4 linked regions of the Notamacropus eugenii genome follow. The protein of the gene in region 2 interacts with the protein of the main gene of each other region in a pairwise test. Links are inferred from orthologs where the notes say so. Each region holds a gene or a part of one and is shown on either strand. Other genes may lie near its edges. The genes, in order: SPATC1L, FSD2, FAM107A and CORO1A.

The links.
Region 1: the proteins of FSD2 (region 2) and SPATC1L interact in binary tests that used the Homo sapiens proteins (3 or more experiments, as listed by UniProt). The two-hybrid records come from large-scale screens. The link is inferred for Notamacropus eugenii from reciprocal best matches to the Homo sapiens genes FSD2 and SPATC1L.
Region 3: the proteins of FSD2 (region 2) and FAM107A interact in binary tests that used the Homo sapiens proteins (3 or more experiments, as listed by UniProt). The two-hybrid records come from large-scale screens. The link is inferred for Notamacropus eugenii from reciprocal best matches to the Homo sapiens genes FSD2 and FAM107A.
Region 4: the proteins of FSD2 (region 2) and CORO1A interact in binary tests that used the Homo sapiens proteins (3 or more experiments, as listed by UniProt). The two-hybrid records come from large-scale screens. The link is inferred for Notamacropus eugenii from reciprocal best matches to the Homo sapiens genes FSD2 and CORO1A.

What each region holds. Positions count from the first base shown.
Region 1 is NC_092873.1:68,617,139-68,624,217, reverse strand, and holds the start of SPATC1L (speriolin-like protein), read right to left. Parts: upstream 3,007-7,079; 5' UTR 2,939-3,006; coding exon 2,901-2,938; exon of another isoform or gene 2,395-2,900; intron 1,299-2,394; coding exon 1,066-1,298; intron 1-1,065.
Region 2 is NC_092872.1:177,483,033-177,490,726, reverse strand, and holds the start of FSD2 (fibronectin type III and SPRY domain-containing protein 2), read right to left. Parts: upstream 3,012-7,694; 5' UTR 2,841-3,011; intron 1-2,840.
Region 3 is NC_092874.1:466,688,055-466,695,479, forward strand, and holds the start of FAM107A (actin-associated protein FAM107A), read left to right. Parts: upstream 1-4,403; 5' UTR 4,404-4,505; coding exon 4,506-4,632; intron 4,633-7,425. UniProt on the Homo sapiens protein: Stress-inducible actin-binding protein that plays a role in synaptic and cognitive functions by modulating actin filamentous (F-actin) dynamics. Mediates polymerization of globular actin to F-actin. Also binds to, stabilizes and bundles F-actin.
Region 4 is NC_092872.1:46,753,973-46,761,467, forward strand, and holds the start of CORO1A (coronin-1A), read right to left. Parts: upstream 3,011-7,495; 5' UTR 2,903-3,010; intron 918-2,902; 5' UTR 917-917; coding exon 719-916; intron 1-718. UniProt on the Homo sapiens protein: May be a crucial component of the cytoskeleton of highly motile cells, functioning both in the invagination of large pieces of plasma membrane, as well as in forming protrusions of the plasma membrane involved in cell locomotion.

The sequences.
Region 1 (7,079 bases), on a different chromosome or scaffold from region 2:
TTTTCCATTCCTTCTGTGGAAACCTTTCCAAGTTGGATTCATAGGAAAGCCTTCTTTGGTTTAATGAAATATCTCTTGGAGGAGATGTGGGAAAACTGGGACCCTAATGCACTGTTGGCAGAACTGTGAACTGATCCAATCATTCTGGAGAGTAATTTGGAACTGTGCCCAAAGGGCTATAAAACTGTGCATACCCTTTGATCCAGCAATACCACTGCCATATCTATTTCACAAAGACATCCAGAAAAGGAGGGGGAGAGAAGGCTATCTATACAAAAATATTTATAGCAGCTTTTTTTTGTGGTAGCAAGAATTAGACATCAAAGGGATGCCCATCCATTGGGAAGTGGCTAAGCAAGTTGTGCTATAAGAAACAACAAGCAGATGATTTTAGAAAAACCCGGAGAGACTTACATGAACTGATGAAAAGTGGAATGAGCAGAACCTAGAGAACATTGTACACCATAACAGCAACATTGTTTCATGAAGAACTATGAATGACTCAGCCATTCTCAGACATACAATAATCCAAGACAACCTCAAAGGACAATGATGACACAGACCTCCAGAGAAAGAACTGATATTGATTGAATACAGACTGAAGCAGGCTATTTTTCACTTTCTTCCATTCTTTTTCTTTTATTTAATATATATACATACTTGTGCAAAATGACTAGTATAGAAATGTTTTACATGATCATACATGTATAACCTATATCTGATTGCTTACCATCTCAGGGAAAGGGGAGGGAAAGGAGAAAAGGAGGGAGAGATATAATTTGGAACTCAAAACTTTAAATAATTTTTTTTTAAAAAGAAAAACATACACAGTTATGCAATACAAAGAAAAAACAAATCCAAATGAAACATTTCCCTCCTAACCTCTGACTCCATAGCACCATAGGCAACTTTGAAGGAACAGGACATGAATAGGATGGAAGTTCCTTGATGCCAAGGACTGTGCTGGTTTTTCTCTCTGTACCCCCAGCACCTACCACAGGGCTGTGCTGTGTCAGTACTTGATAAATGGTGAATGAGGAACAGCCCCGTCACCTCCCTGCTTACCTCCAGCCCCAGGGGAGCAGGCCTCAGGGTATCCTGGGACTTTGGGGAAGAGGAAGTCTCGGCTTTCCCGACAGTCTCGATTTCGGCTGCTGTTTTCATGGCAGCTCTCGCTGAGAAGCCTCTTCAGCATCTGGTTCTCCTTCATTAACCGAACCTGCTTTTTCAGGTCAGCATTCTCACTCATCAGCCTGTTCATCAGTTCATTCCCCTCAGCCATGTCCTTCTTCTCTTCCCTAAAGGAAAGGTACGTAAGGCTACTTTACTACTTTTAAGGTGGAAAGATGACTCTCAGGTCATACTCAAGAAGTCGGCAAATGCTTTAATGTTCCATGACAAGTACTGGGGCTTCTACAGCTCTATGATGTCACATCATCTTAAAGGAACAGGTGTGGTCAGAGAGGACCTGAGGGGAGAAACCGAGGGACCTTCTTCCTCCAGAACTCAGCAAGGAGTCACAGCTCACCAGAGCTGTACTAAAGGACTTTCTGTAGACCCATCCCCAGTGGAAAACTTCCCTCCACAGGGCCAGCTGAATCAGCTGGCACACCAGCCTACTAAGTCTAAAAAGACATGTCACAGAGAGATAGGACAAGGTCATTTGAGCCACAGAATTGAATTTAGAATTGGAAAGATCAAAGATCATCTCATTCATTTTTAAAGATGAGGAAATGAAACCTCAGAAAAGAGAAGTTCTAGGTCATACAGCTTGTGAGTGCCAGAACCTCAGGCTCTGCTTGGCTCTCAAGGAAGCATGAAAAACAGACAGTAGCCCCACTTGAGGAGATATGGCCATGGGTCTCAAGAAGGAACTGGGCAGCACCTGCTCCTAGCTGGCAGTTTCCTCTCCTTGGAAAGGAGCCTCAGAAGCCACTGAGTTAGCCCATAGCTCAACCCCAACCAGGGATTCCTTCTACGGGGCTTCCAACAAGAACTTTCTTAATATCCCAGGTTTTCTGCCCCTCTGGTTCCCAAGGACCATGGAACCTGTGACTCGTTAGAACAAAAGGATTCAGTTGCTTTTCTCCCTCTCAAAAGGACTGTGCCAATAATCTCCTAGGATTTAACACAGTAATGATCCTTCAAGTCCTACAAAAAGAGGACAAGTGCACATATGGAATCCAAATGTGCTATTAAAATACACCCTCCTTCCACCAAAAAAACATCCCCTTCCCCTTCTCCTGCTGTCCTGTTTGACCCAAATGTCCTATGTCCCCAGTACCAACGGCTAAGATGTTCATTAACTGTAACTCTGGGAGCCTTACTGTACTTGAAAAAGGAGCTTGGGGCTTCAGTGACCCCATAGGAAGACAGTTTCATTGTCTGACTGACCTCACTGACTGTCTCACTGACTGACCTCAGTGAGCTGTGTAAAGAAGAGACCCAGGCTCCTCTAACCCATGGGGTTCACCAGGGTCATAAGCACAGAGCAAACCCCATCAGTCGATAGGGAGACTGTCCTCTTAAATGGAGGATGTAGGAAGGATGGCTTCCAGCCCTGGAACCCTGCCAAACCTCCTCAGGACGTCTGCAGTCTACATCCATATGGAGACAGTAAAGTGGATGACAAATGAGAGGGTAGACCAGACAGCCTTTGAGTCCCATCTAGCTACGATCCTACAGCTGAGCCTAGAAGTGAGTCGCAGGTGAGATGGGGCAATGCTTTCAGTGATGCTTCCAAAGAACAAGGCTTTGCAACCAATGTGTTCCCAGGGTTGCTCCATTCCTACGAATCATAGAACAGTACGATCTCATGGAAACCAAAATAGCAGACGAGCCAAAAGGGGATGGAAAGACATCCCTGGGGGAGGCTGCGGCACCCACTGCCTTCCTAGTACCTGCTCCTACATTGACTGCTGGGACACTGTACCCTCATGGTCTTGTTTCCACCTCCGAGTGCTTGTCCTCCCTTGCCCTGCTTCTCACTCCATCCTCCTCCCCTCTAGTGATCTCACACGTTTCTATGGCTTCAATTATTACCTCAGAGCAGAGGATCCCCAAATTCATCACATCTACCTCAGGCCAAATCTCCTGGGATGGCCTGCAGGGACCCCCAATCAGACAGCCTCCAAATGCGGCTCCTCGTTTCCCTGGAGGCTGACCTTCCTCACTTTTCTATCGTGGCCAATTGCTTCCCCATCTACCCTGCCTCTGGAGAGTCCTCTTTTGCTTTTCCTTCCCCTTCACATACCCCCTTGGTTCTGCCTCCTACTTTTTTGAACCTGTGTGGCCCTTCTTGCTCCTCCTCCAGCAGTGACCTTAGACCCTAATCCTAGTCTTGCTCTTCTCACCTTTGTACTGATTCCTTTTGTTTACATTAGTCATTCCTGAATAGAATTGTGCCCCAACCCACTGAACCTTCCCTTGTAACAAAGATTTTTTGAGCAAAACCAGCAGACTGCATGTGACAATGACTGCCACACCTTCTATGCCCTTGGCCCCCCATCTCCTTCACCCACATTTTAAAGCTTCAGTCCACACTCTCCCCAATACTCTTCTATGCTTTAGCCTAACTCACTCCCCATTTCCCAAATATGAAATACTGACACCAAAACTTGGTTGTCAGAGCCTTGGAGACCACTGTTTCCCCAGGAAATAAAGCCCAGGTGGGTTGTCCTGCTGGTGTGAGAGACAAGGCTGAGGCCAGGAGGAAAGAACGCAATGACAGAATGAACAGCAGGCTTCCTTCTGCATTGCTCTGCAGTGAGGAAGTGGATTCAAGTCTCAACAGGCAAGAACAGGAGACCAAACAAGCAAGATGAAATACAATAGGGATGAAGACTTGGACTTGAATCCAACATTCCTCCTTCCAGGTGCCAGATAGGCATGACACAGTCAAACAGCAGTGATCTGACAAAACTCAGCAAACTCACTAAGCACTAACAAGGCCATAGGGCAGGCCAGAAAGCTGTGGGGACTGCATGCCATCCAAGAGTAGGAGGGCACCCATCCTGCTGTCCTGTGCTTTGGTCACAGCCTTGGGTTCAGATCTAGGCACCCCAAGTTGGGAAGACAGTGTTAAACTAGGAGTATCCAGAGAAGGGAGATCAGGCTAGTGAAGGGAGGCCTTGCTTTAGTGCCATCAGGGGACTGGTCGAGGATTAGAATGGGGACAGCTAGCCTGGAGAAGGCTCTTGAGGACATGCCATCTCTAAGTATTTGGAAGTCTACCATGTTCTTCATGATATCGGGGGCACCACCAAGCTGAGCAATGGGGGGAGGTCATGGAGGGAAGATGGACATGCCCTTGGATGGGAGGTTGGGGAGGTGCTCGATGGGCATCTCCTTGGTACAGGTACAGGTGAGTTGAGCCAGCCTCTGAGATTCTGAGCATGAGAAGCAGAGTCATCCTGGCAGAGCTACTGATACTTGGCTGACCCGGCTGCTTCCCAGGAGACAAGGTTCCCTCCCTCCTTGTTTTTCAGGAGACATAGGAAGAGGGATGACAGGTTTTTAGGGGGTGACAGGCTTTCAAATGAACAGTCCTTGAAAACAGGGAGCTGGGAGGGGAAAGGGCACAGTGGATGAGGCAGGGGCTGCTCGACCTTCACAGGACATTCTACACTGCAGCATTGATGGTGAGACCCCAGGTATGAATGTCACTCATTCAAGCTCACCTTGGGCTTCAGTTGGAGATATCTAGGGAAGGGGGGCAGGACACCTTGCCCCAGGCCACCTGAAAGAACAGAATGGACAAGCATGGGACACAAAGGATTGGGGAAGGGGTGTCTGGAAGGGCAACTGAGTCCTGAACCCAAGTAGCCAGAAGCCACATCACACAGGCAGGCTTTCTACACTCAAGAGCAGAAAACCAACTCAAGGCCTGGGTTTTTGACTAGAAAGCTGACCTGGTCATCAAGTCTGCCAGCAGAGCATTGAGGACACATTCAAAGGCTGGCAGAGAGGCCTCAATCTCCTGGGGGGGAGGCGGGGTAGGAGGAAGAGGCAGGATATTGGCCCAATGAGTCACTGGGAGATAAATACAATGGCTCCTCCCCCTCCCTCCACTCTACCCCATGACTACACCACAATGACAAGAGAAGATGTAGGGGTGGGAGAGTTGAGCAGTGTCCTCAGGATCCCAGGAGAGACCTTAAGAAGTAGACTCCAATAAAGGCATTTAAAATTCAGGTTTTCATTGCAGTCAAGTATGGTCAAAAAAAATATCAAACACTAGCAAATTTTTAAAAAGAGATGACCATGAAATGGACAGAGTCAGAAGGGAGAGAACTAATGAAGAAAACTCTAAGCATGAGTACACAACAAAACTGAGCATATAAAAGAAATGAAGATTTAAAAAAATATAAAATATCAAAATAGGCAGAAGAGTGAAATAAACCCAGGGAACCCGTCGGAGGAAAAGTTCAATGAGCCTTTAATGGGAAGCCACCAAAAAGCCCCTGACACAAGTTTCGCAAAGGGGAATTTGATCAAACAAAGAATAATCCCTCTACTCTATAAATTGCTTTCAAAAACTGAGAAAGGTTCATCACAGAAGCCAAATCATGGTCCTCATCTTCAGACTAAGTTCAATCCTATTAACAAACATCAATGCAAAAATATGGGCAAATAAGATTTATCAACAGCAAACAAAAAAGATTTGTCATGATCAAAGATTAGCAAAGTGGAAATAAAACAGATCAATTTTTTAAACAAACATAAAACTAACGTTTATATCAAAAGATGGAAAAAGGCTTCTGAAACATATGATGTAATAAAGACACTTTTCCTTATTACGATTAAAAAAATTTGATTTGATTTCCCTCACACTCAGCAGAGGCTTCCCCACTGGGGACAGGAGTGAGCAGGGGCAAGTCACTTTCCTCATTACAACTGGACGAGTGTTAACAAAGAGAAGCAGCAAAGACAAAAATCATGTTAAATAATCCAATGTTTTATTTAGAATACCAACAAGAAAGCAGCCAAATAATCATTTCAGCAAAATAGCAGAACCCAAGATAAAGGCCCACTGGTCATATTAGCTCTAACAAAACCCAGAAGTAAGTGACAGAAAGGGAAAGGTCTTCTTCAACATTAACTTATCTCTAGACCATAATTATCTCTAGTTTTATAGGTAATTGGAGGAATGTCTGTGTGAACCACCACATGATAAAACAGCTGCCATACAAAGGAATTTAGAGACAAAGACATGTTAATGGAAACAGCAAAGGCTTCCTTTAAAAATTATACAAAGGGAGAATAAGATGTATATGAGTGAACAATGAGGGGAGCACTTTTGCCCACCAGCTTCCAATCATACCCTCAGCCAGTGGGCATCATTCACTCCAACTAGTCTGAATGGGCTGAACATGGTTCCAACAAGTTTGGCCAGGGCTAGAGCCAAACCAAACCATCAAGGAGGCTGAGGTTTGGCAAGTTCAGGAAAATCCAACAAAATATGGAGATTAAGGAGCTCATTATAAAGGCAAAAATTCCGCATTCCAAAAATGGGGGCAAGATCACCCTGCCCCATCTTACCCCAATCAATTCTAAATTATCAAACATTTACAAAGTACTTCAGTCCTGTGCCAGTGTCTGCCCTCCACGGGCTCACATTCTATCCAATGACGGAAATATTGTACAAATACAGGAGGACACAAATTAGAAACTAAAGGAATGTTTGCTCTATCACCATCCATGGTCTTCTTCGAAAACGAAGAACGAACACAGACAGACAAACAGACAGAGAGATCAAGGAGAGGTAGGAAATGTTAGCAGTACTCAAATATTCAATTTGAAGGGTCCAGACAGCTGGATTTCATCCTAGATAAACCCATTCTGCATAACAATAAAAAAGCCCTAGTATATCCAAAATAAAAAGAGAAATACCAGATTAAGGTGGAAAAACCTTTGCTCTAAGTCTTCTCTCATGAAAATCCAAAATCTGTAAAGAGCTAGCTAACACCACTTTCTGAGAGTATGATCCACTCTCTCTTTGAGAGGTCATCAAAGAATTTTAATAGGCAACAGTTTCCAAAAGAAAAATCCTAACCCTCCTGAAAAGCTGTTCATTTTCT
Region 2 (7,694 bases):
TATTCGTTTAATTAGAAATGTCTTCATAAATATTAATGATATCATGGAAAAAATTGGTCAAACTTTCCAGACATCAGAGAAATACAAATGACAATACCTCTGAGGTGTCACCTGTGCTAAGATGGCAAAGAACGTTAAAACTAAGAAAATTCAACAGGCATACAGCTCCACTCACTGCTGGTAGAGGTGGGAATTAGGGGATATAGAATAGGTGGCAGTATATAGTAAGAATGATCATACTGTTCATGCCCTTTGACTTCCTAAAGCAAAACAACAGTATTGACTGTGACTATGTAAAATTAATAATAAAAGAGCAATAAAATCTCCAAAACTATGTAGAAGAAAAAAGAGATTAGAATGGGAAGTGAAAGTAAGCAGCATGTTTTTATTAATGTTAATATACATTTTTTTAAAAATATGAATGAAGTTTGTGATTTTACCTACAATCACCTTTTGTTTCATTGGGATGAATGTTTTTGTTGATGGTTACTGTCTAGAGTTAAAAAAAAATAAGAGAAAAAATATTAGATATGGAGTTGTGTATGAGAGGCAGCATAGTGAGATGAAAAGAACTGATTCAGACACATTAGAGCAAGAGTCATTCCCCAGTAGATAAACAGTCAAAGGATATGAACAGGAAGTTTTCAAAGGAAGAAATCCAGGCTATAAATCAGGCCTGCACAACTTGTGACCCCTGGGCAGCTTATAGCCCTCACCTGCAGAAAGGTGTAGAGGAAAACATCCTTTGTATGTAGAGAATATCCTTTGGCAGTGCCACAAATGGCTTAAGGGCCATAAGTGTCCACCAGCCCAAAGTTATGCAGGCCTGCTATCCTGCTATAAATCATCCATGAAAAATGTTCTAAATCACTAATAGAGGAATGTGAATTAAAGCAAATTTGAGGTTCTGCTTCCTATCTATCAGAGTGGCAAAGATGACAAAAGAATAAAATGACAAATGTTGGTAAAGCTATGGGTAAACAGGTACACTAGTAATACTGTTAGTGGAGTCCAGTTACTAAGCTAGCAAAATGTATCCCCTTTGACCCAGCTTTGCCACTACTAAGCCTACACCCCAAAGAAATCAAAGAAAAAAGATCTCTATCATAAAAACATGTATAGTAGTTCTTTTAGTGGTGGACAAAAATGGGAGATTAAAGGAGTATCTTTATATTGGGGAATGCCTAAACAAATTGTGGCATATGAATAAAATGGAATTATTATACATGTATATATTCCATTAGATATGTATTCTGATATATAATAGAATATTATATATATGTGCTATAAAAATGATGCAATAGACAATTTCAGAGGAAACTGGGAGGACTTTTATGAACTGATAAAGTGAGCAGAATTAGGAGAACAACTCATATAATTATAGTATTAGAGAAAAATAGCTTTTAAGTCCCTAGAACTTTGATCAGTGATAATAAAAACATGAGTTTGAAAGAATAAAAATAAATGAAACCAAGAGATAATAAACTCAAAATTCAGAAAAATTTTTGGACATGGCTAACGTGGGAGTCTGTTTTACCAGACTATGTCCACAGAGATTTTTTAAAAATTGATCAATAAGGGGAGACGTAGGAGGATATAGTAGGAGAGACATTTAATTTTTTAAATATGTTAATTTAAAAATAAAAGTAATAAACTATTACAAAAAGAAAAGAGCACACAATTTAGAATTTAAAACCCCAGACTTTGAGTCCCAGCTTTAGGATGATAATTTTAAAGGCATTTAAGCTCTCTTAAATCTCATTTTCCTCATGTAAAAATGGAGATGTCATTATTTGTACTGTCATTCAGGATGGTTGTGTGAAATGTACTTTGGAAACTACAAAGCATTATACAAAAAATTTTATTCTAGCTGGCACTGACGTAGCACTTTAAGGTTTACAAAGTGTGTTGCAATATAACCTTCACTATGACCCAATGAACTATTATCCACTTTACGTTTGAGTAAACTAAGGGTACAAGAAGTCAGGGTCACACAGTGTCTTTCACGAAGTTATTTTAACTTAGTTCTTCCTGAATCTTAACCTAGCATTCTACCTACTATACCCTGTTGTCTCTCTCTGTGTGTATAAATACATATACACATAAATGTGTATATGTGCGTATGCATGTATATGCACACAAACATATGATCTGTTGTTATTAATGAGAGTTCCAGTCTTCATTAGTCCATCAAAACAACCTGACTATACAACCAGATTACTTCCTTTTACCAGGGATCAAGGGTGTGAGGAAGAGGAGAAGAGAAAATCATAGAACAAAAGCTTGGAGAATCTTTTCCGAAATTAATATCTTCAGTTAGCAATCTGGATTGCTGACACAAGATATGCAAATTTGATGATATAATACACACAGATACATATATATACATATATACATATAAATGCATCAATAAAAGCATGGCTAAATGTTAGAAATATGTTAAGTTATAGAAACTGTTAGGATATTAAGTTAACCACTGTACTTAAAATAGACTAAGATATATTGCTTAAACACTCTCTTCCCACCACTTCCAAAAACTTTCATTAGCATAGACAAAATATCCTATTTATAACATGGGAACTTGTCACTACTGATTTTAAAAAGGAATAGAAAATGATTTATGTCATTTATTGCCATTAAATTATACCTATATAAAACATCTTCAATTAGCCATGATGTTTTGTTTTGTTTTGGTTTTTTACATAAGAGAAAGTTTTTGGATCAAGTGGTTTGCTTAGTCTACAAGGACAGACACATTACGATGCAGCATGCTGAAATAAGGGTTTTTAAGAATCCAACATGATTTAGAAACAAGTGACTACAACTATATATAAACTTGCCTTCTAACTTAAGAATCCATAAATTCTTCTTTTAACTCAGATGACACCGAATTTCTGCAAAGAAAGAAAATGAATTCATCTTCAGTCTTTCAGTGCCAGCTTTCTGAGAGTAGCCTAGGAAAACTATATTGGAGTAATTCTGGATGACTCCTTCCCCCAAATAGTAACATGCCAACCATGAGCAAAGGAAACAAATATAGATCAGGCCCAGCTGTCCTGTAGTTTCACACTCCTCAGGTGTCACCAGGCAGAATGTCACATGTTACAAAGCTAATTGGAAATCATGGTGTGGAACTAAGTGTTTCAAGCCCCTTGTATAATTATTATGCATTTTATCTTACAAAGCATACTTAACCTAATTCTCTCCATTGCTGGCTAAAGACTGGGCTACTGGAAATATGTGGAGGACAGACTCCTACACCACATAGGAAAGGCAACACACTGAATGTAGTTCCAATACTTCAGTCCATCCATTAGGTTCATAAGTGGTCCCACAGACTAACACTTTTCTAGGTGGCACTGAGATCAACAGAGAAGCAGGAGCTCTTGGGTGGCCTCTGCAGCATGACACAAATATTGGTGGTGTCTTAGAATTCCAGAGCAGCTTCCAAAGGTCTCAGCTAATAGAACTTGGGGTTAAGGTTAAGGATAAAAGTAGAGATATGGGTATGGGTGCCAGATAGGTTGCAATATAGCTATGATCCCTCAGTGAATCCAGTTCTAGGCCATGTGGAATCCTAGGGGGTGGGGGAAGTTCTGAGTTTTTCTAGAGCAATGTTTCAAAGAGGTTTGGGTTAATCTTAGTGCCCTGAAAACACATGCTGGTGTGGTCTGGAGCTATGAACAGACTAGGGAAACATAGTATCCTACTTGAGAGCCTACCTTGACTTTGAGAGACAGCTCAGAAGCCAGTACCCTGCAAAGTTACATCCAGTCAAATGAAGTTCCCTGGCCCTGCTTCAATCCACAATCTAGGGGAGTCCTGAGATGTGGGGGTACAGAGGCAAGACAGAGTGGGATAGAAAATCTCCCCCACTAAATATGTCACCAGAAGACATTAATTCAAGTTCCTGCTCTTCCATTTACTAGCTGTATGACTACAAGCAAATTACTTAATATCTCTGAGCCCCTAATTTCCTAATCTGTGAAATGGTCATAATATAATCCTTATGCTATCTGCCTTTGGGGTTGTTGTTATCAAATCCTTTCCTTTTACAGTTGTGGAAACTGAGGCTTAAAAAGGTTAAATGGTTTGACCAAAGCCACATATCTAGTGTGAGAGATGAGATTCAAATCCAGGTCTTTCTGACTCCAAGTTCAGTGCTTTATCTGCTACATCATGCTGTCCATAATACTTTGTAGATTATAGCAATGTGTCCTACCTTTTATTATTATTACTTCATAACCAGTCTGCTATGACACTCTGAGAGGTTCCAGATTATTATAGCATTAGAATATAAAATCAGAATGTTATGGTTGGAAGGAATTGAAGATGTTATCTACTCCAACTTCTCATTTGATGTATGGTGAATGCAAGAATGGCAGAGTAAAGTGATCTGTCCAAGGTCACAAATTAGTGGCAGAATTGAGAACCAGAGGCTCAGGTCCTTTGACTCCTAGGTCAATGCCCTTTTTTATGTAATAAAATGTATTCTAACCACGTGCACTTCTAGATATTCTTCTGGGAATATGGAGACAAGTGCTAAGTGCCTGCTCTGATATTTTCCAGAAACATTCTCAGGGTGTCATAGAAAAGTGAGCATTAAAATGGTAGCTGTTTATAGGTTGTCAGTTTTAGAAAGAGTGGTTGTGTCCTAGAATCCAATGTTCCTTGGATCTATGACAGTGCTTGGGTGAGGGGTGTAGAGGGAAGTAGAGTGCTCTGTTTCGTAGTTCAGATGCTTTCAGTCTGGTTTTCCACTTCTGAACTGGAAAATTACCTCCTGATTGTCTTTCTCCTCCTGTCATCTTCTCCTCGACTTTCCTCTGAACTTCTGAGTTCCTAGTGGGTGAGAAAGGAATGGGAAAGTCACATTACTGGTATTAGAGTGAGTAATTACAGTTCTTCTATTTCCCCTCACTCTCCCACTTTGCTCCAAAAGAGAACGTGTTAGAATTGAACAAGGGAAGGAGCTTCCTCTTTCTTATCAGGTATGAGAATATAGATGTCTCTGTACAGAGAAGGAAATTGTATAGCAACTTTCATAGCAATTTTTAAAATTAGATCTTTTTCACTCCTCCCTTTTCTTTTTTAAATTCAATAGTATTTTGTTTTTTCTAATTACATGTAAAGACAATTACATGTAAATTTTCAACATTCATTCTTTTGAAAGATTTTAAGTTCCAAATTTTTCTCCCTTCCCAACCTTTCCCCACAGCAGCAGGTAATTTAATATAGGTTACATATGTTTTGTAGTTTGTCAATTGATGCCTCTCATGAAGCAGGCTAAGCTGCAAGAGGAATCAGCAACTTAGTAAGAAAACACAGGCAAATTTATCGTGTAATGATGCTGATTACACAATGGAAATTATGAATATTAAAAAGGCAGGAGGAATTTGTTAAGGCATTAGGTAATGGGAAGGGGTCCCTTCTATGGTTCAGTGGTCAAACATTCTGGTTGTGCTACCCTCTGATTGGCTAGTTATTATGGTCCTATCTTGGTCAAGATGGATAGTTAGGTACTGTGGTCCTGTCTTGGGCTAAATGGATGATGTGATTGTGGTTGAATACAAGAACACATCTCTTCAAATATGTAAATTGGATCTGGGGACAGTGGCTAGTCAGGGCAGTGGCTGTATTAAGTCTGGGGGGGCCTGTGGTGTGGTTAAAGCCAGACTATGTGGTTAAATCAGAACATGCCTTCTGCTCATTAGGGCCTATATGGAAGTTAGAATATTGGAGCTGGGGGCAGATTTATTAGGATTCCATCACGTCAGTAATCATGTAAATATATTTCCACATTAGTCATGTTGTAAAAGAAGAAACAAAACAAAAGAGGGAAAAATCACACAAAAAAACTCCACAAGTGAAAATAGTATGCATTAATCTATACTCAGACTCCATCAGCTCTTTCTCTGAATGTTAATAGCATTTTCCATCATGAGTCTTTTGGAATTGTCTTGGATACTTCTATTTTTTCTTAAAGTCCCAAGTAATGAAGCAATGGTTTAAATGTATATTTATGTCATCCTAAAAGTTATAAACTTGTATAAAAGGAAGTCAGAATGAAAGTGACCCTCTAGAAAAAGGAGACATTTGACTAATAGTACTAAGAGGAATGCTTTGCTTTTCATTTGGAAACCTTTCTTTCTGGCCATATTTCTCAGTGACCATTTCTCTCTTATCATCAGGATCACTTCAAAGCAAATATGTCATGAAAATTTACATAGAATACGGTGATTATTGACATCTCAATAGATTTTAAGGCTTGCAAAATTTATGTTAATAATAATAGCAAATACTTTACATAAATTAAGCATTTGTGTAGGCATAGACCTAGTCAGATCTAGGTCTTTCTGACTCCAGGTCTAGTCCAACATTTATTTTATTCTGTTGTCCCTATCAATAATTGTTTAACTAGAACCAGGCAAATAAATTACAATAAATGTGAGAGAGTGTGTTATGTTGGAGAAAACCCTAGACTAGGAGTCTACTTGCTAGCTGGATGGGTGACCTTGGACAAATCACTGAACCACTCTGCTCTTCAAGCTCCTCATTTGTAAAATATAGATAATGAGATCTGCCTTTTCAACTTCATAGGGCTATAAGTCCCAAATGGCATAATGTATGTAAAACATGCTTTGTAAACTGCTAAGTGCTATATAAATTTAACCTCATAAACATTTATTACCCACATAAAGGCACTATCCTAGGTACTAGAGATGTAAAGTGGAAAGATGGGGGAGAAGGGGGCATTTGCAACATTCAAACAACTAAGTGTGACACAGAGCAAAGTGTAAGGGGGCAATGGAGAAATCAAGAAAAAGCATCCTAGGGAAACTTGAGGAGGAAAAGAAATAAGCATTTAGTAAGTACTAGGCTAAGCATAGTTTATAAATATCATCTCATTTGATCCTCACAACAACCCTTCAGGGTAGGGTATCCAAATTTTACAGCTGAGGAAAATGAGGCAAACAAAGGTTAAATGACTTTCCCAGTGTTATATAGTTAGTGTCTGAGACCAAATTTGAGCTCAAATCTTCTGACTCCAAGCCCAGGGCTCTATCCATTGCACCACCAGCTACCTCCTCTGAAAGGGGATGTATGCCTTAAAATTTGAAAGAGAAGTGGTAGCCAGACTTGGGAAGGCCATAAATTACAAGCTAAGGCATTTGTACGTGATTGATGATCTTACATGAGCAGACCTGAGAATTAGCAAGATATTTTTTGTCAACTATGTGAAGGAAGAAGAAGGAGGAGACTAGAGAAAAAGCCAAACACAATCATCTAAGGGAGAAGGGATAAGGGACTGAGTCAGAGTCAAAGTCAATGAACATGTAGTAGGCACTGTGCTAAACTCTGGGGTTAAAAAAAAAAAAGGCAGTACCTACCCTCAAGGAAGTCACAATCTAATGCATGAGACAAGGCATGAAAAAAGCTGAAAGGAAGAAGGGAGATTATCAGGATGAAGGGGAGGGATGATGTAGTAGAGTGGAGTAGAGGGAAATGCTCTGAGAATGTGTGAATTTCTGAGTTGATTCCATCCTGCTGAAGATGAGTTTCTAGAGATGATGAAGTCCAAGAAAGTAGACTGATTATAAAAGGACACATTAACATATCAGTATCTTTTTATTTTAACTAGGAAAATTCTAGTGAGGCAAATCCCTCTACTAATGCAGATTAGCACCTTCTCT
Region 3 (7,425 bases), on a different chromosome or scaffold from region 2:
CCAGGCTCCCAGAAAGCTTCCTTCTGTAGCCATGAGCTTGCCAGAGATGATCCAAGGGCACAAGACTGGGTGAACTCTGATCTGTGCCTCCTCTAGGCTTATGCTGTAGGGTGTCTTTGTTCTCTGCATAGCTTGTTTCTTCATTGCTTCTTTAAAAGTTGAGAAGGGGAAGATGATAAATGTTGGAAAGGATATGGGAGAGTTGGAACACTAATTCATTGTTGGTGGAGCTCTGAGCTGAGCCAACCATTCTGGAGATCAATTTGGAACTATGCCCAAAAGGCGACAAAAATGTGCATACCCTTTGACCCAGCAATATTGCTTCTAGGACTGTATCCCAAAGAGATCATAAAAATGGGAAAGGGTCCCACATGCACAAAAATATTTATAGCAGCTCTCTTTGTGGTGACCAAGAAATGGAAATCAAGGGGATACCCATCAACTGGGGAATGGCTGAACTAGTTATAGTATGTGAATGCAATAGAATACTCCTGTGCTATAAGAAATGATGAACAGGAGGACTTCAGAGAGACCTAGAAGGACTTATATGAACTGATGCTGAGTGAAATGAGCAGAACCAGGAGAACATTGTACACAGTAACAGCCACAGGGTATGAGGACTGTTTCTGATAGACTTAGTCCTTCACAGTAATGCAAGGACCTAAAGCATTCCCAAAGGACTTGAGGTAAAATGTCATCCACATCCAGAGAAAGAACTATGGAATTGATTTTTCATGATTTTCTTGCATCACTCTCATTTCTCTTCCCAATTTTTCCTCCACCTCTCTTACTTGATTTTCAAAATCCTTTTTGAGTCCTTCCAGGGCCTGAGACCATTGCATATTTTTTGGATGCAGAAGCCTTGATTTTTATGTTTTCCTCTGATGGTATGCTTTGTTCTTCCTCATCCAAAAGGATGGAAAAAAATACCTGTTCACCAAGAAAGTGACCTTCTATAGTCTTATTTTTTTTGCCCTTTTTTGGGCATTTTCCCAGCCTATTACTTGACTTTTGAGTCCTTTGTCAAGTGCAGGGTATACTTTAGGGACCTGTAAGTTCTCAGTTCCTCCAAGGTGGCACAATCAAGGGAGAGGAGTTTACTCCTCTCCTGGCCTACACTCTGGTCTGGTAGCAACCACAAGTTTTCTGCCCAGGATCTGTGAGTAGAATTCCCTCTCCAGAACCTCCACCAGATCCACCAGGCCAGTGCTCCTCCTCACCCCAGGACTGCCACTCAGAGTCGAGACCCATATCAGCTGATCAATTCCCCCGGGGTCTTTAGGCTGAGGGCTCCTAAAATGAATGCTGCTACCACAGCAACTGCCACCAACCTAGGACCAGGGCCAGACCATGTTCCCTTCTTACCCAGGTGAAAGCTGACCTTTCTCACTGACCTTTGAAGCTGCCTTTGGTGTTTTGGGATTGAGAAATCTGGGAACCCCAGCTGCTGTCTGTTATTCTGTACCCTGAAGCCTGCTCCAGTCCTGTCCCTGCCACACGGCCAAGGCTAGGCTGCTCTCTGTCCTGAGTCAGTGCGCTAGACCTTTCCTGTCAGCCTTACAGGCTGTCTTGGCCTGGAAATCTCTTTCACTCTGTCATTTTGTTGCTTATGCTGTTCTAGAATTTGTTTATAGCCATTTTTTACAGATATTTTATGGGATATAGGGAGAGAGAGCTACAGCAGGTTCATCCTTCTACCAGAACTATGAAATTGGAATACAGAATGAAGCAGACTATTTTCTCTTGTGTTATATTTTGTTTTGCTTTGGTTTCTCCTATTCTTTTTAATTCTTCCATACAATATGACTAATATGAAAATGTGTTTAATAAAAATGTATGTGTAGAATCCATATAAGATTGCATGCCCTCTCAGGCAGGGAGGATGTAAGGAGGGATAGAAAATTTAAGACTTACAGAAGTTGAAAACTGAAAACAAATACATTAATTTATTTTAAAAAATAAAGTTGAGAAGCAAATGAAACAGTTGAGGATTTCACACAGTCCTAGCTCCTTTGCCTTCTGGAATATCATATTCCAGGCTCTCCAGTCCTTTAATGTTAGAAGCTGCTAAATTTTGTGTTATACTAACTATGGCTCCATGATACTTGAATTGTTTCTTTCTGGCTGCTTACAATATTCTCTCCTTGACCTGAGAGTTCTAGAAATTGGTTATAATATTCCTGGGAGCTTTCATTTTAGGATCTCTTTTGGGAGGTGATTGGTGAATATTTTCAATTTCTATTTTACCCTCTGTTCCCAAAATATCAGAGCAATTTTCCTTGATAATTTCTTGAAAGATGATTTTTTTTAATCATAGCTTTCAGGTAGTCAAAGAGTTTTAAATTATATCTCCTGGATCTATTTTCTAGGTCAGCTGTCTTTCCAATGAGATATTTCATGTTGTCTCCTATTTTCTCATTCTTTTTGGTTTTGTTTTATTGTTTCTTGATTTACCATAAAGTCATTAGTTTCTATTTGCTCAATTCTAATTTTTAAGGAATTATTTTCTTTAGTGAGCTTTTGTACCTCCTTTTCCACTTGGCCAAATCTGCTTTTTTAAGGAGTTTTTATTTTCTTAGTGAATTTTGGTGCCCCTTTTACCATTTGGCCCAGTTTGTTTTTTATGGTGTTATTTTCTTCAATTATTTTTGTGTCTCCTTTACCAAGCTGTTGACACATTTTTCATGATTTTCTTGCATAACTCTCATTTCTCTTCCCAATTTTTCTTCTACCTCTCTTACTTGATTTTTCAAAATTCTTTTTGAGCTCTTCCACAACTTAAAACCAATTCATATTTTTTGGGAGGTTTTGGATGCTGGAGCTTTGATTTTGTTGTGTTCTTCTGTGTTTAGATCTTCCTTGTCACCATAGCAACTTCCTATGATCAGAATTTTTTTCTGCTTGCTCACTTTTCCAGTCTATTTCTTGACTTTTAACTCCTTGTTAAAGTGGGGCTCTGCTTCTAAGGTGGAGGGCATACTGTCCCATACTTCAAGGATTTCGTACAGATATTTTCAGAGATATTTCTAGGGACCTGTAAGTTTTCAGTTCTTCCAAGGTGGTATGATCTAAGGAGAGGTGTGTTTCTACTCTCAGGACAGTGGTCTGTGAGTGACCACAAGCACTCTTTTCTGTCTTGGAACTGTGATGGGGTGCCCTGCTCCACTGAGGCTGCAAGCTGTAATGTGCTAGAGTGCTTCTCCTTGCCCTGGGACTGCCACCCAGAACTGCGACCCAGATCAGAGTATGAGCAAAGCAATAGAGTCTTGCCTCAGTGCTAGCAAAGAGGATACTGTAACCTCCTTCTGACCAGTTGTTTGACTCCTTTACTGTCTGTGGGCTGCTACTACAGAGGTAGCCACTGCCACTGCTGATTCAGTGGCTCCCAAGTTCTGCTCCTGGTTTTCTGGGGCCAGACTATACTGGCATGACCTGTACTGGACTGAGCTCTACTCTCACCCAGGTGGCACAGATCTTTCATACCAACCTTCTAAGTTGTTTTTGGCTGGAAAATTATTTCACCCCATCCTTTTGTGGGTTCTACCTTTCTAGAAATTTTTTATGGCATTATTTAAAGGTATTCACAGGGGTTTGGGGGAGAGATCAGGCAAGTCATTGCCTTTTCTCTAACATTTTGGCTCTGCCTCCTAAATTTGATAATTGTTTTTAAAGGAAGATTTGAACAATTTGATAAATTTGATACAGATTTAAATAGCTGCCACAGTGGACATGTTTTATACAATCTTCCATGTATTCAATCCGTGCCTCTCTACATTAGATCTCTGGGACCAAGGCTGTTCATTAAAATTCATCAGAATTCAGCTGCTTTCATGGGGTCTTCCTGGCAACTGGAGTTGTTTGTCATTTATTTCTCCAGATCATTTTACAAGTAAGGAAACTGAGGCAGAGTGAAGTGACTTGCCCAGGGTCACAGAGGTAGTGTCTGAGGTCAGATTTGAACTCAGGTCCTCCTGACTTCAGAACTAGCACTCTCTCCACCTGGCTGCTGGTTTATAAATTCCCAAGATTATAGGTCAAGAGTTGGTAGGGACTTCGAAAGTCATCTACTCCCATCTCTTCATTTTACAAGTGAAGAAACTGAGGCACCAAAAGTCTCAGTGATACCCCAGTGACTTAAGTAAGATTGTAAGTAACAAAGTCAGCATTTGAACCTTGGTGCCTCTGTGATTCAGTTTCCTCATCTATAATGCTACCTTCCTTCCAGGAAGACTGTGAAGAAAAGTGGATGTTCATCCATACTGGCCCTGGGATCCCAGCAGCCTGGCCCTCTCAACAGTAACATAATCCCCTGAAATCACCCAGGAAAGGTTTTGTGAGAGGAGCAGATCAAAATGTACCGCCTGGCAGGGGAGGGCAGGGGCTGTGCTGAGCCTGCCCATCTCACATGACTGCTTTCCGTCTCTGAAAAGATCTTACTGAAGTGAGAGAGAGAGAGAGAGCTCAGTAGCAGAGCTCCTGCCAAAAAGCTATGCACACTTGCCAGCATGTGCAGCCTCCGAGATTCAACTAGCTTCCCCCGTGCCCGGCCGGCACTCATGGCCCAGAGAGATATGGGGATCAGGGTGCCCCCTGAGGCAACAGGTCTCTACCGAGCCATGCTGGTTAAATCAGGTAAGAGCAAGCCTGGAGTGGGACCCTCTCCCCTGCTCCCCAGCTGGGCAAAGAATGTGTTTGCCTGCTTCCCTGTGCCAGTGTCCACCTGGGCACCTGTCCTGGCCCATCCTGGCATTTTTCTGGCCATCATGTACTGAAGAGTTTTAAGTCGGGATCCTAGTCCCACTACCAGACATGTGATTCCTTAATATGACTGATTTTAAATGATTGCTGGCACTTCTCTAACTGTGGGTATTATGATTATCAAGGAGGTATTTCTTTGGTTTCTTTTAGTTTGTTTTTTAACAAGTCCTACAGTCCAGGTAAGAAACTCCTAGTTTCAGGGGAAATAGCTTGCCTTTTGTAAAGGGGGAAAGGGATCGGATGGTTCCTATTTCTTTTACAATTTCATTTTGAGAGAGATATTTTCAATAGTGCTCATAATTCTGCGGGTTCAATCTTCCTTCTAATTCAAAAACCTGATCCATGAGAAATCTGCCAGTCTATGCTTCAGTCAAGGGCAAAGAGGTAGACCCAGCTCTGTAACCAAGTGAGGCACCCTGAGTGCCTTTCTGGGGCCCTGCCAGCTGCCAGCACTGGAGCCCAAGGCTAGCTGGGGCTTTTTTGTGTTGTTCCTGGAGTCTTGGGAAGCATCAGACAGCAAAATTGGAGGGATTTGGTCTGATTCAGCGGCTCCTGGAGTGGATCATTCCGGGACATGCTGAGAATAGCTAAACTCAGAAGCCTGCACTGGGACACAAAATGATGCTGCCTGGAGAGACCAATGCAGCCTTTCTGAGGTGGGAGTCAGTCAGCCTGGACTGATTGAATGTCCGCTGTCTGGAGAGATCTGAGCTGGAAGCAGGGGATGAAAAAATATATCAAAAAAACTTTCAAATCATGGAATGCCCAAGCTGGAAGAGAATTCAGAACTCCAGTCACCCTCCCTCCTCCCCATTTATATTCATTTGACAACTGAAATTCAGCGAAGTGAAGGGACCGGTCCAGGATCACACAGCTCCTTGGTGGAAAAGATGGAACCCTGATCCGCAAACTAGTGTTTATTCAGTGTCCTTTAAAATTCAATCAAATTCCACTTTCTCCAGGAAGCCTTCCTTGATCTCTCCCCACCCCCACATTCACAGGTAATAATCTTATCTAACAGTGGAATCACCTGCTAAAGAGGTAGGGGACTCTCCCTATATTTGAAGTGTGGAGGCTTAAGGTAAGGGGAATTCTTGTTCCAGTATGGATTGGATTAAGTTGCTGAGGTCCCTTCCAACACTGGGATGCTTTCATTTTCTGTGATTCTTTGTAAAGTTATATTCTATACATCCCTCTAGGTTTCAGTCCTATAGATGAAAACCAAGTGGCTCCTTGGGCTCTCTCATTTATCTTGCTTAGTACCCACAATTTGTGCTCTTGTGTATGGACCTCTGTGGCCACGAGCTCCATTGCTGACTTCCTTCTTGCATTTTTGACTCCTGAGAATTATGGGGTGTCTCTACTGCTGTTATTGTAACCATGCTCTGTGGTCCTGAAAGTTGGTTTCTCCTTTCACTCTCCTCCCTTTCCAGTTTGAAGTCCCTTTCTTTTACTAGCATTGCAGATCTCTGAGCAAATATATTTTTTAGCCTTTACTATCTACAATCCATCCCTAGCCAAGAGTGTATCATTCCTATATTTTAAGCCTTGGTCCAAAAATTAATTTTTTTTGTTTTCAGGTAAACTACTCAAGTAGTTCTTCACTCCTCAGATCTGTCTTTCTCTTCCAAAACTTCTGTTTTAATTGACAAACATGATGAAGAGACCACTGGGGCCCCTAAGGTCTTCATTTTCTTGCCCAGGACTTCAATGTCCCTACCATGTTTGCTAACTTTCTTATGGTAGTGTAATGTGTCCCTAGATTTATCACGGGAAGTAGGAAGCAAGTTTGTCAAGTCCTGTTGTGGCTATGTGCACCTAGATGTGGGTTTCATTTCTGCCTCACTCTCCTCAGATTCTAGGACTGTACCTGGCACGTAGTAGCTATGTCCAAAGGTTTGCTGATTGACAGTTTGACAAACAGCTGTCTTGGTTTCCTCAGCAGAGAGTCACCAGCCACCACTGACTTTCCTCTGACCCTTACTGAGTAACCTCTCTCCTTAGAGCCCTGCCTCCTCTCAGGATGGCTCAGCTCAGCCCTCTGCAGGGAGAGTCCATCACCTAATCCTCATGCCCCCACTTTTGTCACTCATATTTCCCTTTCTTAAAGTTCTTACCTTCTTCTCCCCTCTCATGCCCTGACCCACATCAGGGCACTCAGATCCCTCTTCAGCTCCTTCCTTTCTTTTTTTGTTTGTTTGTTTATTTTTACTTGGAAGTTTTTCTATTTTTAAAGGCATATTTTTACATCCCTTAGCAGGAAAGAGATTCCTTTTTTCTTTCATCTTTTATTGTAGGACAGAGACCAGCCTGAACTGTGTGCATTCATAGTCATCCCCTTGCCATGGCAGAAGGACTGAAAGCAGCCACCCTCTCTGCAGGCCATTGTGCCCGTCTCTCCTTCCCCTTCTGTCCTCTAAGTGTCAGAAGAGGGATCCCCTGGAGTCTTTTCCTGGCACAGGGCAGACTGGGTGTCTTCTGAAAATCCCCTCCACCTTGGAGATGCTGTGCTCTCTGGCACTGTAATAAACAGTGTGTGAGAGTGTAAGCGATGCCAGTTTTTAAGAATGTAGTCCTGAGCTGGTGCTGTGTAATGGAGTCAGTTCTAATGACCAAGTTTGGTCCCAAGTGGCCAGAGATGGGGGAATGGAACATTGCATAGTTGGA
Region 4 (7,495 bases), about 130 Mb from region 2:
CCGGTGTAGAGAGTTGGGTGGGGGAGGCCAAGGGCTGAGCTCTCAGCACCCAAAACCACTTCCTCTTCTGTTTGTCTCCATCAGCCCTTTTAAGGTAACAACCTCAGACTTCAGACTACCCCCATCCCCCCAGCCCAAGTTGCAGAAGCACAGCTGAGGAGGGAGGCTGGGGCGTCAGATCCCCTTAAGCTAGGTCCCCCACTACCACCCCTTCCTAGTCCCCAGTAAGTCCCTATGGGAGCTCATAGGGAAGCAGAAGACCAGCTGACCCACAGATGATGAGATGGGGAGGGTAATGTGGAGTATCTTGTTTTTGTCCCTTTGACCAGATTTCTTAAGGTATTCTCTGCTGGTCCTTTAGCTTTCTTCTGGTGCACTGTGGAGACTCCCTTCCCTCCCCAGGTGGTATCCCTAAAATGAGACCACCTGAAGAAATGGAAGAAGGTGAAAAGGAGACAGGGTCTAGATCTAGGTCAGCTAATAATCATGACCTTGGACAAGTCAAGTATCCTGTTTGGACTTTATCTCTTCTAAGCAAGTTGGATTAGATTTCTTCTCTCTTGGAGGTCTAAATTTGCTGGATTCTAAAATCCTGGAGGAGGGACATTTCCTTACTACTTGAGGGCTTCAGGGGGCTGAGGGGACCTTTATTTTCCTATCCCCTTTCCCATAGAAGGTTTACCCTTCTGGTTTCTCCCATCTCCCAGGATCTCATTACCTTGGTCAGGGGCAGCACCAGAAAGGCCCCTCCCCCACTGGCTTCACAGATCAAGGCCATAAACTTGGGGTTGACAGCGCAGAACCCACTGTCCCAAGTGGTCTGGGAGACTCTAACATCCTCATAACACTGGTCAGCCTTGGCTGGTTGCCCAAACACATGTCGGAACTTGCTGCTTCGTACCACCTGTCGGCTCATCCTGGGGGTAGACATATGAAGAGAGACTCAAAGGGGGTCCTGTGAGCTTCCCACCTTCTCCCAGCTCAAAGGAAATGAGCTAAAAGATCAGCTTCCTCACTGATCTCTCAGCTTCCAGTCTTCCCTCTTCCAGACCATTCTCCCACATTAGCTCTAAAATTTCCATAGCAAAGCATTGATTCTGATACCTCCCTCTACCACCTTTATCCTCTTGACTACTGAATCAAGTTCGACTTCCTTGTCCTGGTATTCAAGGCCTTCCATGAGCTTACCTTTCCTACCTTTGTTTCCCATGACATTCCACCCTGCAGAAACCCTGGGCTCTCCATTCACTGGTGTGCCCATGTCTACCAGGGCTGTCCCTCTGCCTGACATCTCCCCACTCTCCATCTGCACACATGGACTGCACGATTTCTTCTTCCTCCACTCCTACAGCATGTTGCTGTCTGTGCCACCCAGTTGGCATTTAGGCATCATCTAGCATTTGTTAATTATCTTTTCATGTCTCATCTTCCTAACTTGACTACCCTGCATGACAGCGGAGATAGGTTCATATTCATGCATCTTTCTGTCTCTCATAGCACCTAGTTTATAAAACCCTGCACAAAAGTAGGTGATCCATGGACTTGAATGAATGACTGCTGCCAGAGAATAGTGGGGATAACCTTTGTAAATCCCCTCCTCTCTCCAGCAGACATCTTTCTAGAAATGGTCTCCCTTCTGCTGCTTTGCCCCTCTCCTGGTACCTTAGAGACTAGAGGCTCAGAGGATGCAGGGAAACCCCCCCTTCCAGGAGGCCATGAAGATTAGACCTAAAGGAGAGGCCAAGCTTCATTTACATCTGATACCTGTTCCTTTTAGGCCCTCCCATGCTGGGAAAAATTCCTCCATTACTGGATCAGAGCATGGTGCTCCAGCCCTCCCTCTTACTCCCCAAAACCTTGCACTACCTGCTCAATCCACAGGGATATACAGAGGCTTCTCTCCTTAAACCCCCATATACCCCATGATCCCAGATCTCCATCCCTGACTGGCCCCTGTCCTCGAGGAGGTGGTGTGACTGTTGAGTCCTGTTCTTGTCCCTCCATCCTCTTCCTAGGAAGCTCTGCTTTAGCAAACTAGGCCTCAATGGAGAGGGAAGTTGAGGATTCTGGACCTGAGCTAGAAGAACCAGAGCACTGGCTGGGATATCGACAGCAAGGGCAACAGGTTGTGTGCCCCTCAGAGGGTAGGGGAGCCATGGGTGGAAGGACACAAAGGTCTGCTGCTGCCCTAGATCTTGACCCCCTTCCCACTCATCCCTCCGACTCACAGGGCAGAGGATCCTGTCTGTCTTTAGCTTAAGAAAGGCAAGCTCTTGAGTTGAACCTGCCTAGGTTGATTTGATGGGTTTTTTTTTTTTTTTATGGTGGGGGAAGGAAAGGCAGGAAGCTGCTGCCCCACCCAGTCCCCCTTCCCACCCCAGGTACCCTGCAGGGCTCAAAAACCACAGAAAGGGGAACTTAGGGTTTTCTTGTTTTTCTCTTAAACCTCTTCCTGTCTCCCAGTTCTGAACATTCTGCTCATCCTTCTGTCTTCTGTGCCTCTGCCGAACACCTCCCATACTCTGGGGGATTTGTTCTCAGGCCTGCTCCCTTGGACTCTTCCAGGGGAGCTGGAGGGGGTGGGGGTGGGGATGGAACTCAGAGTCTCACCCACAAGCTCCTCCCTTCCCATCCCCCCAACTCGACCTCTACAGTGATCCAGGGCTGGCAATGAAGCCTCTTAAGACACCCCACCCACACAGACACAGAAATAGTCAAACATAGGGGAGGCACACAAATACTTGGGGTGGGGATATAACTCTGACATCTCTGTCCCCACAGCCTACATTTCTCCCACACGCAAACCCACACCCACAGGTGGCTGGTAGGTGGGTGGATGGCCAGACCCTCCAAGCCTCCCCGTGGACATATCCCCTCTTGTCCCTAAGTCCCTTAGGCTCACCTGATGCAAACTGAGATCCAGGGAGACCAGGCCTGATGAGGAGGAAGGAGCTGAAGCCGGAGCCTGGGAGACACCACCCGCCCGGCAAAGGATGCTCCTGTCAAGACAATGAATGAGAAGCAGACGGCTTAGCCCGGCCCCTTTAAGAACGGCAGCACCCCTTTGGGGAGGGAAGGAGGCCGGGCTATGAAATGGAGCACGCCCACTACTCTTCCTTTAACTGTCTTTAGGTCTCAGTTCCCCAATCCTGCCCCAGGCAAAGTTCACCAGCAGAGTGGATGAGATGGAGATGAGGCAGTAGTGTGTGAACCCTTTTCAGGACAGGTTTTTGAGGGATCGGGCCGCTCCCCTGTGCTCCTTTTAGGTGGGGCTGGTCAGGGATTCTCAATCCTATTATATATGATCCTCCATCCAGAGCTTGAAGGAGCCCTAGAGGAATCCCCTCATTCTACCTATGGGGAAACTGAGGCCCAGAGATGCTGGGTGACTCTCACAAGGCTGTGCAGGTAATAGGCCTTGACATGAGCTAGGGTTAGAATTTAGACCCAAGCACTCTGTAAATCCCAGGCTCACACTACTTCACCACACTACCCTTTGAGTTCATATTTTTAATCTCCAAATGCACGGATCCCTTCTCTCTCTCCCTCCTCCTCCTCCCCCTGACCCCCCAATTTGATTCCCTTTGCTTCAGTCTCATGAGGTCTCTTAGTTCTGTATAATTAGTATTATTAGTCCCACAGGCAGGAGTCTCCTATCGAATCTATTCCGTTCCCCTACTGCCTCCGGCATGAGGTTAAGGCAGGCACCTTCAAGCGTTCTCAATGCCAGTATCCCACCACTCCCTTAACCTAGGTACTTATTGGGCTCTCAAGGTTTTGTGTAGTTAAAAGCACTGGCCTGGGTAGTCAAAATGTCAAAATACCAATTTCCAGGTCTCTACTACTGACTCCCTGAGGAAGAGAAGGCAGCTAGTTCCAAAATCACCTTGGAAAGGGATACACTTGGGGTGGGGGATAGACCAGGAATCTTGTACATAGTAAACTCTTAATCAATGCTTGATCAGTGACTGATTGAATAAAGATTTAAAGGAGGAAAAGGAGGAGACTCCTGAACTTTTGGAGAAGGATTAACAGGAGCTTCCAGGGACCCCTCAGAGCCATTCCTCCTTCTACCCTCACTCCATCTCATATCTACTGGATGTCTCTGATGAAGGAGAGCATTCATGCTACCACCACACTCCCCTCACTCAGTCACTCCATCACAGTCAGGAAGGCTTTCACAAAGTCTAACATAAATCTCTCTAGAAGCAGCTCCAATACATTTTCTCTAGGTCAGTAGTCTCTGAAGAGATTTTTGCTGCGGGTGAGGGCTAAGTGGTCCAGTCTCATAAATTCATGTTTATATGTACAATATAATTCTCCTTCATTATCTGGCAATTTCCATGCTAAAACTGGATTAAACTGAGGTACCATTCCTTAATTGTCTTCTTTATTACCACAGTGGCTGTACCTCAGAACAAATATAGGAAAGCAGAAACTTGGATGGTCAGAAGTTGACAAGAAAAACATTTAAGGTCCTTATACGTATAGTAAGTAAACTATGTGATGTAATGGCTAGCTTGGATGTCTTGGCAGCACTATAAGGAAAGCTTCATGACAGGAGGGCATCTGAGGAGGGGCATTGAAACACTGGTGAATTTCTAGGGGAAGATTGACTAAGATGGTGAAAGGTCTAGAAATCCTATCATTTGAAGGAACTAGAAATATTTCATTTGAAGAAGATAAAATTTAGAGAGAAAACAAAACAGTCATGAAGAAGAGGGATTACATTCCTTCCCTGGCTGCTGTGTCCCTACCCCCTCCTTCCCATGTCTCTGCAGAGGGCAGAATCAATTGGGAGTTTATGGGATCATAGATCTTAAAGCCAAAAGGAAGCATAAAAGTCATCTAGTCCAACCCCATCGTTTTATAGGTGAGGAAACTGAAGTGTAGAGAGGGAATGGCCTGCCCGAGGTCACCTACGTAGTAAGAAGTAGAGTAAAAATTTAAACTGTTACTCTTTGGGGAGGCTGATTGGCTTGATGTGAGGAAGACCTTTCTTACAGTCAGAGCTGTCCCAGTCTGGAACAAATGGGCTGCTTCGTGAGAGATGATAAGCTTCTTTTCATGAGAATTATTCAGAGGCTAGCTACCTGTCAGAGGCTCATCGAGGACTTCTTTCGCTGAGGGAAGTTGGGCTGGTTTCCTCTAAGGTCTTTCCAATGGTTGAGCATATGCTACTGATTCTTAGTGTGTAGTAGAGAGGGAGTCACACAGATTGTTAGCATAGCAAGGACCATCCTTAGGCCATTGATGGCAACACAGAAGAAGCCCCTCCTGAGTCTAGAATTTTGTACAAGGACCTAGTTGACTATACAACGAAACCACGTGGCATGATGGAAATAATGCTGGACTAGAGCAGAAGACCTATGATGTGCCAGTTTCACCATTTACTGCATGGCCTTCCCCTCTTTGAATCTCAATTTCTTCAGCTGTAAAGTGGGGGAAAAAAGAATAAATAAGTGTAGGCAAAGAGGAAACAAAATGATCACTTTTTGTAGATGATATGATGGTGTGCTTGGAGCACTCTAGGGAATCAACTGAAAAATCAGTTGAAATAACTTTGGCAAAGTTGCAGGATAGAAGATAAATAGATCTAAATCATGAGCTTCCCTATATATAGACCTCAAAACTCAGCATGAAGAGCTGGAAAGACAGATTCCATTCAAAATAACTATTTTGGAGTATACATACCAAAATTCACCCAGGGACTGTATGAATCTAATTATAAAACTTTACTTTTTGCAGGTGGTACAGTGGATAGAGTACCAGTGCAGGAGTCAGGAGGACCTGAGTTCAAATCTCACCTCAGACACTTGACATTCACTAGCTGTGTGACCTTAAGCAAGTCACTTAACCCCAATTGCGTCATCCTGGATCATTTCCAGTCATCCTGATGAATATCTGGTCACTGGATCCAGATGGCTCTGGAGGAGAAGTGAGGCTGATGACTTGCACAGCCCTCCCTCACTCAAAAAAAACAAAGTCAAGTGCAGATCATGTCATCATTTCTCTGATGGCATGGTCTTCTTTGGCATTGAAGGACAAACACACACATGCTTTTTGCAAAAATATAGACCTAAATAATTTTGTTATTCATTCTTTTCAGTTGTGTTCAACTCTTTGTGACTCCCATGGGGATTTTCTTGACAAAGATACTGGAATGGTTTACCATTTCCTTCTCCAGCTCATTTTACAGATGAGAAAACTGAGACAAACAAGGTTGAATGACTTGCCCAGGATCACCCAGCTAGTATGTGCCTGGGGGTAAATTTGAACTCGGGTCTTCCTGACTCCAGGCCTGGTGCTCTATCCACTATGACACCTAGCTGCCACAACAAAATAGTGTTTCATAAACCCAAAGACCCCAGCAACTGAGGTAAGAACTCACAATCTGACAAAAGCTACTGGCAAAATTGGACAGCAGACTTACAGAAATCAGGTTTAGACCACACCATACACTAAGATAAGTCCCTAACAGATACATGATCTAGATAAAAAAGTCATGTCACAAACTAACTAGGGGAGCAAGGAACACATTATCTTTTGGATCTATGGATAAGGGAAAAATTCATAACTAAACAAGTGATAAAGATCACACAAGATAAAATGAACGGTTTTAGTGATATAAAATCAAATGCACAAGCAAATTGAAACAGGTAATTGAGGGAAAAGTTGCGACATTTCACTGATAAAGTTATCATTTCCAGGATATTAATAAGGAACTGATTTAAATTGCTAGGAAGCAATTGCTGAACAGGCAGTTTTCTGAAGAAGGTATCAAACTTCCAAAAATCATATGAAAAAATGCTCTAAATCAACAGTAATTAGCAAAATGCACATTAGGGGAACTCTGAGGTTCCACCTCAGACCTATGAGACTGACAAAGATGACAAAAAGGGAAAATGACAAATGTGGCAGGAGCTGCTGGAAAACAGGTATACTAATGCACTGTTGGTAGAGATGTGATTTGATGTAGCTATTCTGGAAAGAAATTTGGAACTATGCCCAGAAAATTACCATACTTTTCATACCCTTCTGACCCAATTATACCACTAAAAAATAAAAGAAAGAATAAAAGTATCTATAAATACAAAAATATTTATAATAGTTCTTTTCATGGTTGCTAAAAATGAGAAGCTAAGGGCATCCTACTGGAGAACAAATTCTAGCATATAGATGTAATGGAATATTATTATACCATAAAAATTACAAAATGGACAATTTATGAAAAAACTGGCAAGATCTTTATGAACTGATGCAGTGAGAAGTAAGCAACAACAAGAGATTTGTACAGTGACAACACAGAGAAAAGAAACTTTGAAATACTTTAGAACTGTGATCAATGTAGTATTCCACAAGTCCAAAGAATGTAGATAGAACATCTAACTCATCTCTTAAGAGAGAATTGTTGAACTTAAAATGCAAAAAGAGACATATACATGCATTTTTAGACATCACTAATATGGGAGTTTTTGCCAGACTATACAGCCGT